2 linked regions of the Tamandua tetradactyla genome follow. The protein of the gene in region 2 purifies or fractionates together with the protein of the main gene of each other region. This does not show direct contact. Links are inferred from orthologs where the notes say so. Each region holds a gene or a part of one and is shown on either strand. Other genes may lie near its edges.

The links. Proteins that work in one complex are often made in the same cells at the same time.
Region 1: the proteins of WRAP53 (region 2) and CCT4 purify together in Homo sapiens (co-immunoprecipitation; 3 studies listed by BioGRID and IntAct, with this or other methods). This does not show direct contact. The link is inferred for Tamandua tetradactyla from reciprocal best matches to the Homo sapiens genes WRAP53 and CCT4.

The regions. Positions count from the first base shown.
Region 1 is NC_135343.1:34,675,317-34,683,074, forward strand, and holds the start of CCT4 (T-complex protein 1 subunit delta), read right to left. Parts: upstream 3,269-7,758; 5' UTR 3,111-3,268; coding exon 2,984-3,110; intron 121-2,983; coding exon 68-120; intron 1-67. UniProt on the Homo sapiens protein: Component of the chaperonin-containing T-complex (TRiC), a molecular chaperone complex that assists the folding of actin, tubulin and other proteins upon ATP hydrolysis.
Region 2 is NC_135332.1:61,508,029-61,515,206, reverse strand, and holds the start of WRAP53 (telomerase Cajal body protein 1), read right to left. Parts: upstream 3,280-7,178; 5' UTR 2,968-3,279; coding exon 2,327-2,967; intron 2,176-2,326; coding exon 2,077-2,175; intron 1,874-2,076; coding exon 1,762-1,873; intron 1-1,761. UniProt on the Homo sapiens protein: RNA chaperone that plays a key role in telomere maintenance and RNA localization to Cajal bodies. Specifically recognizes and binds the Cajal body box (CAB box) present in both small Cajal body RNAs (scaRNAs) and telomerase RNA template component (TERC).

The sequences.
Region 1 (7,758 bases), on a different chromosome or scaffold from region 2:
TCTACATCAAATCTTGTAGTGCTGACAGTAGTGCTCAGTAAAAAATAAATCATTCTTTTTTTTTTACCATTTTATCCATTCCTTTTGGTCCAAGGCTTGTTCTAATAGCATCAGCAACAGCTGTAAACAGAAGGAAAAAAGAAATCAAGAGTCTTCAAAGAGCGAAGTATTTTTCCTCTCAAAAAAACTGTCCTTATTAGAATATGGTGCACAATAGTTCATTGTGACGCTAAAGAAAAATTCATTATATGATAATCTACTGGAAACAGAATTACTTTGCTCCTATTAAATGTATAATGCTTCAGCTTTGTTTTGTAAAGCCAATGTGCATAGTATGTGTGCCCTCCCTAAGGCAGAACAAACTTTGATTACTGAAGATTGGATTATTTCCTCCATTTCTTAAAATAAAAAATAATAGATAAATTTTAAAAAAAGGCCAAATAGCATAGGAAAAGCCATGCTTTTCCTAACAGACTAAGTAATTTACTATTTTGTTCACTTTGTCTCCCTCAAATACAGTATAATCTCTGAGGGCAAAAGACTTTGTTTTGTTCACTAATGTGGTTCCAGCACCTGGTATATAGATTGCCCACATTCAAAAAATCAACATTAAGACTTTCAACAGAGCAAATAGTAGTGGTACAACTTCTGAAAATGCTGTAGAGCAAAACACTCTTTGACAGAACAAACAAAAACCCCCAAACCGCCAAGTCATATTCTTATTACTTGTAGATAATTTCTATTGTACTAATACACTTCCAATCACTTCCCAGGAGAAACTGAAACTGATGAACAATACCCCAGTCCCTTTTCTTTGACAAGTCCAGGATAAACGATTAAATCTTCCCCTTTCTCACACACCGTTTTGCCCCACAATCATACTGCAGAGATTATGCCCTAATTAATTCTGTATACTCCACAACTCGGATAACGCTTTCCCCCATATGGTAGGAACATACATAAAAACTTAAGAATTTTAAAGAGAAATATTAGGTATACATTAAAATTTATATTCTATATAATTATTCCATAACTTTGGGTTGCTGTTCCTAATTATCCAGTCAACATTACACTTTCAGGGGATTTTAGCAGACCCATATGGCCGTGATTCTATAAGCAGACCAATCCATTTTAAGAATGTCCTATCAATGTGAACACTCTTGATACAGAGATACATACTGCCTAAAACATAAAAATACGATTTTAGATTGCTTATATTTCAGAATGTGGTTTAATATACTGTATATTCAATAGTGTCTCTTAAATGACTTTTGCTGGATAGTAATAAACTACTACTACTTTTGTGAGTTTGTGTTTAACATTATCCACAAATGGCACTATTATCTATATCTCTTGGTAATACCGAAACAAAAAACTGGCTCCCTGAATTTAAACTAAAGATGCATAAGGCAGCAACTTTTCTGATTAGCTTGAAGGATTTTGTCTGACTTGGAAAAACTATTTGTGCCCCTTTGTTCTCAGAGCTCTTCTTACATATGTTAATAAGAGTCAGGTTCAAAGATAATTTAGGTGGTCTTTCCTTCCTACACTCATACTTCTCTTATCCTGTTTCAATTCTCTATGTACTGGCAGTTTCTAAGGGTTCTCTTCTAAACCTCCCATTCTCTGTCTTCCTTATTGATAATCTGCCAACATACTGAAAATCTCTTTGCCTCCCAGAGTTTATCTTTCAACATCTTCTAGTTTAATAAATCTAATTTTATGCCTTCAAGTATGGTCCTCAGAAAATGTCTATCAAATGTTTAATTCCAGGTATATTCTGTCCTGAAATTGCAAATGACTTCTAAATCCATGCATCTCATCTTTCTGATACCTTCAATTCATTAGCCCGAATTAGAAACTATTATTTTCTCTTCTACCGTCTTTCCTACTGTGTTACCTATTCCTTTTAATATCATCACCTCCCAGTCACCTGGGCTGATCACCTCAAGTAACTGCAAAATCGTATTTACATACATAGTTAAAAAAAAAATTATCTCATTTATACCCTCATAGCAACCCTACAAGTTAGCTACCATCTCATTCTACGGAAGAATTGTTAAAGCTGAAGATTAATCAGACACCCTGACCTTCAAGATGTGAGCCCAAACTACCTTTTCAATCTCATTTCTCACATACCCAAATAAAATACCCACTCTTCTTAATAATCGTCCTGAGCAGGATCTTAAAAGCTTTGTCTTCATCTTCCTTCCTCGCTCTCCTACTTAAGCTCGACTTCTTCTTAATCAAGCTCTAAAAAGCAAACATTTTCCTTCTCAATTTTATAAATGAGAAAATCTTGGCTCGGAGGTGAAACACTTAAAACTTACAAAGCTAGGAAGTAATGAAGCAGAGAATAAAACTCAAATCTTCTCCATTCCCACCATGCGCCAAACTGTTTTACGAAAACCAGTAATTGTCCACGTTTCTTGAATTTGCACACGCAATGTAGCGTTCCATGATTATACTCAAACACTACCGACCAAGTTTCGGGGTCCTTTCCACTCCACGATCGATCACCACTGCGGGGGTAAAATGGGCCCCGCCCCAAAGAAGATGCAGTTTACCCAAACTCCTCTTAATAGCTGTGCCAAGGCAAACTTATTTAAAAGGTGTTTTTATAACAAGCAAGAGAACTGAAAAATGTGCAAACAATATTCTACCAGTGAATCCAAAAAGTAGATAAACGACAACTCTTAAGTGTCAGATCTCAAGGGACACGCAGGCCTCGATACTCAAGACCGAACCGTTTTCTGCGACCAAGCGATGAATGACGCACACCCCAGGATGAAAAATCACGGGGGACTAAAACCCAAATAAATCAAGTCCAAAAGCCTCCTTACTAGAATTCGAATATTACCGGGGGGAAACAGAAAGGACCTCTGCAAAGTTTCAACCACCGGGAGGCCAATCGAAAACGACTAGAAGGAAAAGAAAACGGACAATAACCCGCACAAGACCAGACAGACCCAGAGAGCGATACCTTTGGCCGCGGAAATGTTGCTGAAACGTATCTGGGCCGGTTTGTCGCGGTCCTGATAGGCGCCCTTCCCGCGGCCGCCGGCAGCCCCAGCAGGCGCCCCACTCCGGGGAGCCACGTTCTCCGGCATGGCAAGCTTGGTTGGATCTGTGCGGCTTCGGGAAGGTCGGATGGACGCGGATTCCTGCAGGCAACGGAATAACGGTGTGCACCCACGGTCTTGACGAACCTTCCAGAAATCGGCGCCGGCGCCGCGAGGAGGAGTAGGGGGCCTGCCTGAGGCGCGGCGCGGACATGACGTTGAAGGCTGCCCGCCGCGCGCCAGGCGAAAAGACTGCGCACCGTGAGTTCCCGAGCTTGCAGAGGGGTGGGGTGTTGGTCCGAGATATTGGGGCCGGAGGCGCTATGGGCGGTCTCGGGCGAGGCAGAAATGATAACTAGAGATTTTAAAGGCGAATGCTGGAGACACTCCTATCTCCCCACCCTTCTCTAGCGGTGAGGTCCCCTCCGTTAACTTTCATCTAGTGGGTGTGGCGGAACTGGCTTTTGCCAACCTCCCTGACCTGAATTTTTATTCTGTTTTACTCATTGTGAAAGGGAGTCGGAAGAGAGATATTTGGCTAGATGGTTTCTTTGCTTTGCATATGGGGGTTGGTTGTCTCACATTGATTTATACTGGGTGGTAGATAGAGGTTTAAATAAACCTGTTTAAGTACAAAAGACCTAGTTATGGAGCTATGATTGCCTGCTAAATCTAGACTAACTAGAACTCTCCTTTTCCGCTGATAATTCCTATATAACATAGCCACCTGATTTTAGGGAGCCTAAGTGTTAAAATCGCGAACGATTATTTAGTACAATTATGTGTTAGGTACAGTGCTAAGTCGTTTACATGTTTTATCTTGTTTAATCCTCCACAATCATATGTTGGGCACAGTGCTAAATCGTTTACGTGCTTTATCTTGTTTAATCCTCCCAGCAGTCCTATGAAAAATCCAATTAATTGAGTGCCATTATCTTTATTTAGCAGATGAGGAACTGAAGCCAAAGGTAAACCAGTAAGAAGATGGAAACACTATTCCAATGCAAGGCAATGATTCCAGAGGCCATGCTATAAACTTCTAGGCTCCTTTACTACTATATTGTCTCCAATCAAGTGAGTACGGAAGTTTACACAGGAGAAGTTCATTCAGAAGTAATTACTGTGTGCCCATAAAGTGCGGAATGCCTGCCATAGCCTGAAAGGCTACTGTTGCAAGTACTGAATCCTGTAATCAAAAGGTACTTTTGGGGCCATGGTGGTTCAGCAGGCAAGGATGCTTGCCTGCAATGCCAGAGGACCCGGGTTCGGTTCCCTGTGCCTGCCCATGTGAAAAAAAAAAAAGGTGCTTTTGCATGCATCACCAGGATATTAGCACTGGAAAACGAAGCTTCCTGGATGCCCTGTGCAGTGGTTTGGAGCTATATACTCAGAAAAACATGTTTTTAAACTTAAATCATTCCTGTGGGTGTGAACCCATAGTAAGTAGGAACTTTTAGTTAAGGTGAGGTATTAACTATTAATACTGAACTCAATAAGGTGGGATATTAGTCCTATTACTAGAACCCTTTATAATTAGAAGGGAATTCAGACACAGTGAAAGCCACAGCTGGAGCAACCATAAGCAGAAAGTTAGTGGAACTAAGTGAGAGGCTGGGAGAGGCCGCCATGTACATTACCATGTGACAGAAGCCAAGGACCAAGGATCACCAGCAGCCACCACCAGAACACCAGTCTTTGGGAAGAAAGCATCACCTTGATGACGCCTTGATTTGGACTTCTTGCCTTAAAACTGTGAGCCAATAGCCATTATATGGTATTTGCTTAAGTAGCCAGAGAAACTAAAACACTCTGTGATCCATAAGCCTTTGGTGCAGCCTTCTTTTCAAAGGGCCTGATTACCTCCCTGTAGCACATAAACACTCTATGGTTATTTGTTTAGAAACTGATATGCTGTGCAATGATAGAAATAGTATTACTTTGGGGGTCCAAAATCCTGGGTTGATTTAGATCCTTACCTTACACCATATTAAAAAATTAACTAAAAATGGGTCAAGGTTATAAATTTAAGAGCTAAAATTATAAAAAACTTAGAAGAGACATAAGGGGCAAATCTTCATGAACTTGGATTTGGCAGTGGCTTCTGAAATATGACATCCAAAGCATAGTCAACAAAAGAAAAATAAGATAAACTGAAGCACATCAAAATCAGAAATTTTTGTGCATCAAAGAATATCATCAAAAGAGTGAGAAGTAACCCCCAAAATGGAAGAAAACATTTGCAAATAATACATGAGTTAGGGGTTTAATATTCAGAATATATGAGGATCTTCTATAACTCAACAACAAAAATACAAACAACGCAATTAAAAGTAAGCCAAGGACTTGAATAGACATTTTTTCGAAGATGAACAAATGGCCAATAATGTCATGAATAGATGCTGAATAGCATAAGTCATTAGGGAAATGCAACTTAGAACCACAAAGAAATACCTTTTTACATCTATTGGGATCATTGACATCAACAACAACAACAACAAACCCAGAAAGTAACAAGTGTTACCAAGGATGTGGAGAAATTGGAACCCTTGTACACTGCTGATGGGAATGTAAAAATGGTGCAGCCACCGTGGAAAACAGTTTGGTGGTTTCTCAAAAAGTTAAACATGGAAGTACCACATGAACTAGCAATTCCACTCCTAGGTGTATAGTGAAAAGAATTTAAAACTAATGCACATCAAAAGGTGAATGGATAAACAAAATGTGGTATATGCAGGTGAGCTGATTTGAAGCTGTTTTGTACCCCAGAAAAGCCATGTTCTTTTAATCCAATCTTGTGAGAGCAGACCTGTTGTTGGGTGGGACTTCTTGATTAGGTTGTTTCCATAGAGATGTAACCTTCCCAGTTGTGGGTGGGATCTTTTTTTTTTTCACGGGCAGGCACCTAGAATTGAACCTAGGTCTCTGGCATGGCAGGCGAGACCTCTGCCTGCTGAGCCACCATGGCCCGCCCGGGTAGGATTTTTTGATTAAGTTGTTTCCATGGGGATGTGACCCACCCAATTCAAGGTAGATCTTAATCCTTTTACTGGAGTCCTCTATGAAGAAAAGTCAGAAAACATACGGGCAGCTGAAAGCCAACATAGAAAGTAGAGTGATGAAACAAAGGCGTGGACATTTGGAAATGGATAAGCTAACATGAAATCCAGAGTTTGCCCCAGAGAAGCTAAGTGAGGACTCAGATTCTTAGAAAGAAAGCCACTTGAAACAGCAGCTGAGTGGGCCGTTTGAAATCAGAAGCTGGGAGCAAATGACAGCAGATGTTGCCACGTGCCTCCCCATGTGACAGAGAAACCGTGGACCCATCGGCCTTTCTTCAGAGTCAAGGCATCTTTCTCTAGATGCCTTAATTTGGATGTTTGCATGGATTTAGGGCTGCAAATTTGTAACTTAATAAATCCTCTTTGAAAAAGCCAGTCCATTTCTGGTATATTGCATTCTGTCAGCTTTAGCAAACCAAAACAACATGCAATTGAATATTATTCTGCCATAAAAAGGAATGAAGTTTCATAAGTGCCATGACATAGCAGAACTTTGAATTATTCTAAGTGAAATGAGTCAAACACCAGAGGAAAAGTTTGTATGATTTCACTTACATGAAATATCTAGATTATGCAACATAATAGAGACTAAAGGACTTGTGGTTACAAGGGGATGTGGGTTGGGGTGCAATGGGAAGTTATTGATTAATGGATAAAGTCTACTGGGGTGATGAAAAATTTTGGAAATAATTACATTATGAGTGTAGTTAATACCACTGAATTGTACATGTAAATATGGTAAAAATGGCTAATTTTATGCACATTTTAGCACACACGAAACATTTTGTCCCTAAGTATCAAAAAAAGGCAAGGGGAAAGGATGGGTAGTAGATGGCAGAATAGATGAAATAAGATGGCCAATGTATTGATGATTGTTAAAGTTGTTGGCGGGGACATGGGAACTCATTATGGTATTCTTTTTACTTTGCATGTGCTTGAAATTTTCCATAATAAAATTAAAAAAAAATTTTTGAATACTCAACAGAGAATATGACCAAATTGCTCCAGATATTTTGCATCTTTCCAAAATCAATCTCATTTTCTAAATCTTAGAATGAATCTGGAGTAAAAAATTTTTAAATGCAGAAACAGTGCTTTGTTCTGTGGCAATTTCATTCAGAGTGCTTGCTATGATAGCTATTTTGGTCAACTGGCTCATAGTAGGGTACAAAACACACAAGCTTCATGGAGGGGTAGTCCACAAATAAACTGAACCCCTTATGCTCTGAACCATCATCTATCTAGTCAGCCACCTAAACTAGAAATCCAGGAGTCATTCTGTTCACTCTTCCCTGGCTCCCCCACATAACACCTGTTCATTTCGCTTTATTATCTCAAGAAACCATCTCATATTCTCCATCTTCATTGTCAGTGCCTTATATCAGAACCGCATCATCATCTATTTGATTGTTGGGATAGTCTAACTTTTAGCCTTACCCTCATCTCTGGTTCATTTTCCACACTGCTATCACAGAGAGACTAAAAACAAACAAACAAACAAAAAACCTACTTTTTATTTTGAAATAATTTCACACTTTTTTAAAGGTCAGTTGCAAAAATAATACAAAACCTATTGTTCTAGTTTGCTGGCTGCCGGAATGCAACACACCAGAGATGGATTGGGTTTTAATAAAAGG
Region 2 (7,178 bases):
GCCCAGAGTCAGAAACACCCAACTCTTCCACCAACCTAACGGCTGTTTCTGAACCTATGCACTGCCTTTCTTCCTACTGCAAAGGATTCTATGTCTATGAAAGTCAAGCCCTCTAACGTGGTCTAGATCCTGTCTTCACTCACCCTCTCGAGGACTATGTTAACCTCTCACTCTCCTATAGCATCAATTTATCCCCCTCATTGTATTATTTCTTTGACCCCCACATTCCCTCTGGTCACTGTTCCATTCACTGGTTCCCTTTCACAGCAAACCTTCTCCAAAGAATTGTCCGTACTTACTCTTCCACCAACTCTAACCCACTTCTGCCTCCATCACTCCTCTGGAAGTTCTCCTGTTAAGGTCACTAATCTGTTCTTGGATCATTCCTCTGAATTCACCTGACTCCATCTCTCAGCAGCATTAGACATGACTCTCAGCTTCCGTCTTTGTAATTTCTTCAGCTGGAGAGATCAGGGCTCTGTCTGGGCCTTCTCCTTCATCTACACCCTCTCTTGAGACTGAATTCCAATCTTAAGGCAGCAGATACCGTCTACATGCTCTCCTACTTTTCAAGATATATCCCCAGCCGCGATCTCTCCTCTAGTTTTACTTTCACACTTAATGTTGTTAAAAACACTTGATTTCAATCCCAATACCTGTTCATATCTCATTTCCTCCTCTGGAATAAACTCTACCAACATCCACTCAGTTGCAAAAACCTGGACATAACCCTTGATTGCTTCTTTCCTTGCATGTCCCCATCCAACTGATCTCCAAGACCTACAAAGTTACTTCAAATCCATCTACATTTCTCCATCTCTTCCTATACCAACCAACCTAGCCCAAGCCACCATCACCCATCTCTTGTCTGGGCCATGATAAATGCATCCTAATGGCTCTGCCTGATCTCACTCTTGCCCCCTCACAATCCATTCTCTAAACTTCAGTCACCATTTCACCCTTCTCTTTTAAACCCTTCCATGGCTTCCCAAATAAATTTGAAATGCCTACTCACAAGATCCTCCAGGACATGGCTTCTGGCTACCTTCCCATCCTCACCCCCACAACCCCCCTCACTCACCTCATCCCAGCCATATTGGCCTTCTTTCTGTTCCTTGAACACACAAAGATCTTTCCCAGCTCTGGATCTTTGTAATTTATTGTTTCTTCCTGGAATGGTTTTTCCAGAGCTCTACACATAACTGGTCCAATATCAGCCTTCTCATGTCTCAGTTGAAATATCTCCTTTTCAGAGAGCCCCTCTCTGTTTTATTCAAAATGATATCTTCCAGCTATTCTCTGTTTATTCTGTTTATTTCTTTCATAGCATTTATAAAGATTACTTATTATAATCTATAACAATCTTGACTAATTATTCATTTACAAGTTCATTTGTTTTTTTGTCTGTCTCTCACACAAGAAAATAAACCAGCTCTTCAACTGTCATGCTCACCACTTAATCACACCAGTGAATACTGTGACTGACACATTGCTAGTCACCAAATAAACACCTGTAAACAAATACTGCCATGAGAAATCCACTTTTACTATTTTTTTTTAATGAGAAACACAAATTCCTGACCGAAGAAGGCACAAATATCTCTCAAAACGACTTCAGAATTCAGGACAGAGAATGCTAACTGTGGAAATTCATTAAGAAAAGCTCCACTTGTGAGCAAGAGGCGCATGGACTATAGAGTCTATATGGAAGGAGTTAAAGGTGCAGTGTCTAATGAAGGGGCAGTGAGCCCCTACCCTCACCATTTCTGCATATTCCAGCTGTTCCTTCTCCTTGTACAACTCTGGGGGCAGGTTATAAATCCTCAAGATGTTATCAGCACTATTGGTCAAAATGCAGGAACCATCAGGGGCCCTAGAAGTAGGAAAGAGTTAGAAGATTGGACAGACACATATTCCACGTGTAGGGGCTAGGGCCTTGCCTATCTCTGGGTAAACCCCCTGAGTTCTCAAGAGAAGTCCTAAAAGTGATTCTTACTCCTTTCTCCAGAGAATTGGGGTGCTTTAGGGTGAAAATCCTGAGGGTGACTATCTCCTTGTCCCATTATCCTTACTTACCACTTGCAGCCTTTCAAGAAGTTCTCAGGTTGGGTGCTGAACTCTGACCAGGAACCAGTAAGAAATCGAGGTAGCTGGGAGAAGCTGTAGTTCCAAGTGCTGGAAAGAAGGTGGGGGGAACAACAAACCTGGGTCGCCAAAGCAAAGGGGGAAACGGGCTTGGAAAAGTGGGGCTGAGGACTGGTGGATAAGGCTTAACTCACACTTCCAAACTCCTCAGACTCCAGAATCAACTGCAATCACCACTTACATGTAGTTCTCATCCTCTGGAGCCAGTTCGGTGCAGCCCTTATCCTCTGGAGCCGGTTCGGTGTAGCCCTCATCCTCTGGAGCCGGTTCCGTATATCCCTCATTCTCTGGAGCTGGTTCCGTGTAGCCCTCACCCTCTGGAGTCGGTTCCGTATATCCCTCATTCTCTGGAGCTGGTTCCGTGTAGCCCTCACCCTCTGGAGCCGGTTCCGTATATCCCTCATTCTCTGGAGCTGGTTCCGTGTAGCCCTCACCCTCTGGAGTTGGTTTCTCCAAACCTTCCATGGCTTCTCCAGGCCCCAAATCCGGCCTGTTCGTTTCTTCTGCAGGAAGGTTCACATTTTCAAAAGGTTCTTGCTCCTCAATTCTAGGACTCAACTTACTAGCAGTAGCAAACCTTGTTTCCAGGGAAGTGGAGAAAGAAGATGGGATCCCCTCCTCATGCTCCTGGAACACAGCTGAGCCAGCCGCAGGATCTGGGGACATCCGGAGCGGATCATCTTCATTGGGCGGCGGTGTCATCAGTTCAGGGTCCGTATGTTTACGCATCGGGAAAGCCGGGGAAGAGTCACGGACTGGAGCCGGGACCTGTACTGAACGAAAGCAGTCCGGAGCTAATGGTCGCGAGTCCGGAGTTTTCATACTGCAGAAGAAGCGAAGTTGGCATTGGCCCCCGGCCCGGCAACAGTCTTCCCGCCGGCTACCGACCGCCTGGCCAGCGGAGGGGTCGGGGCCGCTCCAAAGTTACTAGGGATCCGGACGCAGGGCTGGAGAACCACACCTTGCCTTCTTTTCTCTTCCAAGAGTAGGCAGAAGACCCCAGCAAGCGAGACGAAGGACACCTAGGTTAGGAACAAGCATTCTTCACCTGGGTGGGCCGCTACGCGTCATTGCTCTCGCGGGATTTGGACCGACCTTCCGATTGGACCTCCGCATCCGGATTAGATTTCGCGGGAGATCCACGGGAAGGGCGGGGGCGGGGACGTAACAAACAGGTCAGAAGGTTGGCCTTTCCCATCCAGTCCCGGAGCCCCAGTGCCTGCTGGGAGTCGTAGTCTGAGAGTTTTGCCTTGGCGAGAAGTGCCTGAGCTCCCCCTGCCGTTCACCGCGGTGGTACTTAAAGTCCCTACCTCCCCTTACCTGCAGAGGGTGCCAGCGCTATAATCGCTGGCACCCTCTGCTTTTGACTCACTTTTTCCTCTCATTCGCCAAATTCCTCAGACCTGCCTCCCTTTTCGTTCATTCAATAAATATTTATTTTTGAACCTTTACTTGCTACTTAGCACTGTACTAGAGAATCCATCCGTGAATAAGATGAGAGCAGGGTCTCTGTGCTCATAAGGGTTTTGCTGCTGCTCATTGAAGGCAATGGGCAAATGAACATATATTTTCAGATAGTGATATGGCCTGTGGAGGAAATTATACAGGTTGATGTGGTACTGAGTATCAGTATCTGGAGCAATATTTTGACTGAAATATCAAGGAAAGCCTTTCTAAAAGGCAACATTTTAGCTTATGAAAAGAAACTATCCAGCTGTCTGGGGAAATGGAGCGCCAAGCAGAGGGAAAAGCAAGTGCAAAGATTTTCTTCCTTCCACCCTAAATATTTTACATAATAGCAAGACTTCTCCGAGATGATTTCCACCAATTCTGCCCTCGAATCTCTGGCTTGCGGAACGTCCCCACCACAAAATATGTGTAGCTACAACACCAATTAAACCAGAATGCAGACTCTCTCGGTGCCCTCTTTTCCTTTTCCCCGCCCCTTCGCCTTCGCCTGCAGGCGAATTGCTTGCCCTTACTTGTCATGGCGAATGCAAGCGTTGTGCCAGGAACCTCGCGAGGATTGCCGGGATTGGGACTTTCCCCTCCCATGTGCTCAGACCGGCGCTAAAAGTTTTCAGCTCCTCAAAAGTATAGAGCCACCATCCTGGGCGCAGGTAGCTGCTGGGCTCCGGGGGTACCTGGCGTCCGGGCTCGGAGCGTGCTTCCCAGGACGGTGACACGCTCCCCTGAGGTTCGGGTAAGCCCCTAACTGAGCTTGATGAGTCTTCTCTGAGTCAAGAGCTCTCTGCTCTGTATTGTCAGCTCAGAGAATTGCGGGGGTGGGGGGTAGCGGGTGGGGGCTGGGGGGGACAGTGGAGGCTTAGTGAATTTTGGAGGAAATGGGAGCTTGTCTAGCGGGATCAACATGGGAATGCAATGTTGGGATGACAGGCTTGTAAATGATGGGGTGCTAGACTCAGCCGAACTCAGAGCTGGACACCTCGGCGGTGGAGTGGGGCTTTGGGGAATCTCGAAAGAATCTAACGGGTCCTTTCCGACCCTACCTCCCAATCCAGAGCTGGGTGTGAGGAACTATTAAATAAGACGCCCAGAGCATTGGGATATGAGACTATGATCTCGAAACATTGGGAGCTCGTGGCTTGAGACTTTAGAGCCCATGGCATCGTGGTGGAACCTTGAGCTTCGTCCCGAAAGGATTTGGGGTGGTCAGGGAAGCCCAAGCCGCTAAGGAAGGTCCCACAACGTCCGGATCTTTGCCCTCCTGGAGAGGTAGAGGAAAAAATCCAATTAAAGACTGTACAGCGTGGAAGGAGGAAGTGCTGGGGTTTGCCCGCGGGACTGGGGAGAACTGTCCAGATCTGAGAGGCCAAGGGAGCCCTGTTATTGTTTGGCTCCATATTTGCATTTCTGCCACTTGCACTTGCATTTCCGGTTTCTTTTTTCGGACCAGCTCACTATTCACCCGATGAGAGGGGAGCAAAAAGAGAAAGAGAATGTCATTTAGATCGTTTCCTATTTCTTGCAGAGAGAGGTTGCTGTCCACATCCCATCCCACTTTTTTCTCCCCTGGACTACTCGGTTATCACATTTGGAAAGGAAGGGATGCTGTTTTGATGTAAAACTCAAAACCTCCCCCTCTTCGAATGGGGTGCTCCAGAGTCTGAGATCAAGCCGGGCGCTACCATTGCGTGCGACAGGGGTGTAAAAGAGGGTGCAGAGCGCTAACCTGGGTGTTGTCGAGAAGGGGTAGATTTAAGAAACCACGATGAGACAGTATAATGAAGGGCGGTTTGTTTGCACGGGAGAAAGTTTATCTTACATCCGGCTTTGGGCTAAGTGATTCCAATTTAGGACGCAGACCGAACGTCGTGAAAGCGGAAGGGGCGGGCGCTGGAGAGAGGCGGCCCCGAGGTCCTAAGTCCCGCCCCCTACCCTGGCTGATTCTGCCCTGTGGGAGGCCGCGAAACCTGCGGGAAGTCCTGCGAATCCGTTTCTCCCGCATCTTCATCACGTAGGGCGCGGTAGTTTCATTTAGCAGTAACTTACACGCACCTGTTATGAACCAACGCTTCTGTTTTTTTTTTGCTTTTTCTTTTTTTTTAATTGAAGTAGCATTTGCACAGGTTAACGAGGTTTGTCAAATGTAACCACCGTTGCAACCCACACGCCCACCAAAATATATAACATTTAAGTCGCCCCCGAGTGTTTTCTCATGTCTCCTTCCAGTCATTGCCTTACCCCCACCTTTCTTTCTATCACCATAGATTAATTTTGCCTGTTCGAGAACTTCTGTAAATGCAGTCCTACAAAATGTGGTCTTGCGTCAGGCTTCTTACCTTCAGCATATTGTCTGAAATTTATGTTATTGCATGTAAGAATGGCGTGTTTGTATGTTTTCTTTTTTATTTAGTATATTCCATCGTATGAATATACCATCAGTTGCTTATCCATTCTCCTTTTGATGACCGTTTGAGCTGTTTCCAGTTTGGGGTTACTATGAATAAAGCTGCTATGAACATTCTTGTACAGTTTTTTGTGGTCATATGTTTTCAACTTTCTTTGGTTAAATACTTAGGACTGGAATTGCTAGGTCAGAGAGTAGATACAGTATAAAGAAGCTCTCAGTTTTCCAAAGTAGCTTACCATTTTACGCTCCTACCATCAAGATAAGTGTTCTAGTTGTCCCATATCCCTCCCAACATTTGGTGGTATCAGTCTTCTAATTGTAGTTGTATATCATCCTGGTTTTAATTTGCAGCTCTCTATTAACTAGTGATGTTGAGCAGTTTTTCATATGCTTATTGGCTATTTACATGTCATATGTGAAGTAGCTCTTCAAGCCTTTTTCCCTTTTTTGTTTTTTTTCTTTTTATTATTGAGTTATAGAAATTTAGATATTCAGGACTCAAGCCCTCTGTCAGATACACGTTGCAAATGTTTTCTCCTAATCTATTGCTTTCCTGTTTGTTAGCTGAATAGTGATTTTAATTTGAAATCCCAAATTATCTTTTTTTTTCTTTTATCTTCAGTGTTTCTGTGCCCTGGTTAGGAAATCTTTGCTTATCTCATCTCAAGATCATAAAGATATTCTCTTATGTTTTATGGGAGAGCCTCTATGGGTTTAGGTTTTACATTTATGAGTCATCATGAATTAATTAAAAAATAATTTTGTTTATGGTGTGAGGTAGAGGTTGAGGTTCTTTTTTTTTTCCCTATATGGATGTCCAGTTGTTCTAACACCACTTGTTGAAATAACCTTTCCCCACTGAATTGTTTTTAATTGGGGTGTTGAGTCCATATACATTTAATTCAATTATTGTAGAGTTTGGGTTAAAATCTACCACCTTACTACTATTTCCTATTTGTCTCCACTGTTCTTTCTTCTTCTCTCCAAATAGTTGAGGAAAAAAATATCATTCTTATAGATTCTTTCAGAAAATAGGACATTTCCTAGCTTATTTTGTGAGGCCGTCAAGAAAAGAAAATTTCAAACCAATAGCCCATTAACATATATATATATAAATATAACAAAGTTTAGCAGGTAAACCTGAGAATGTATAAAAAAT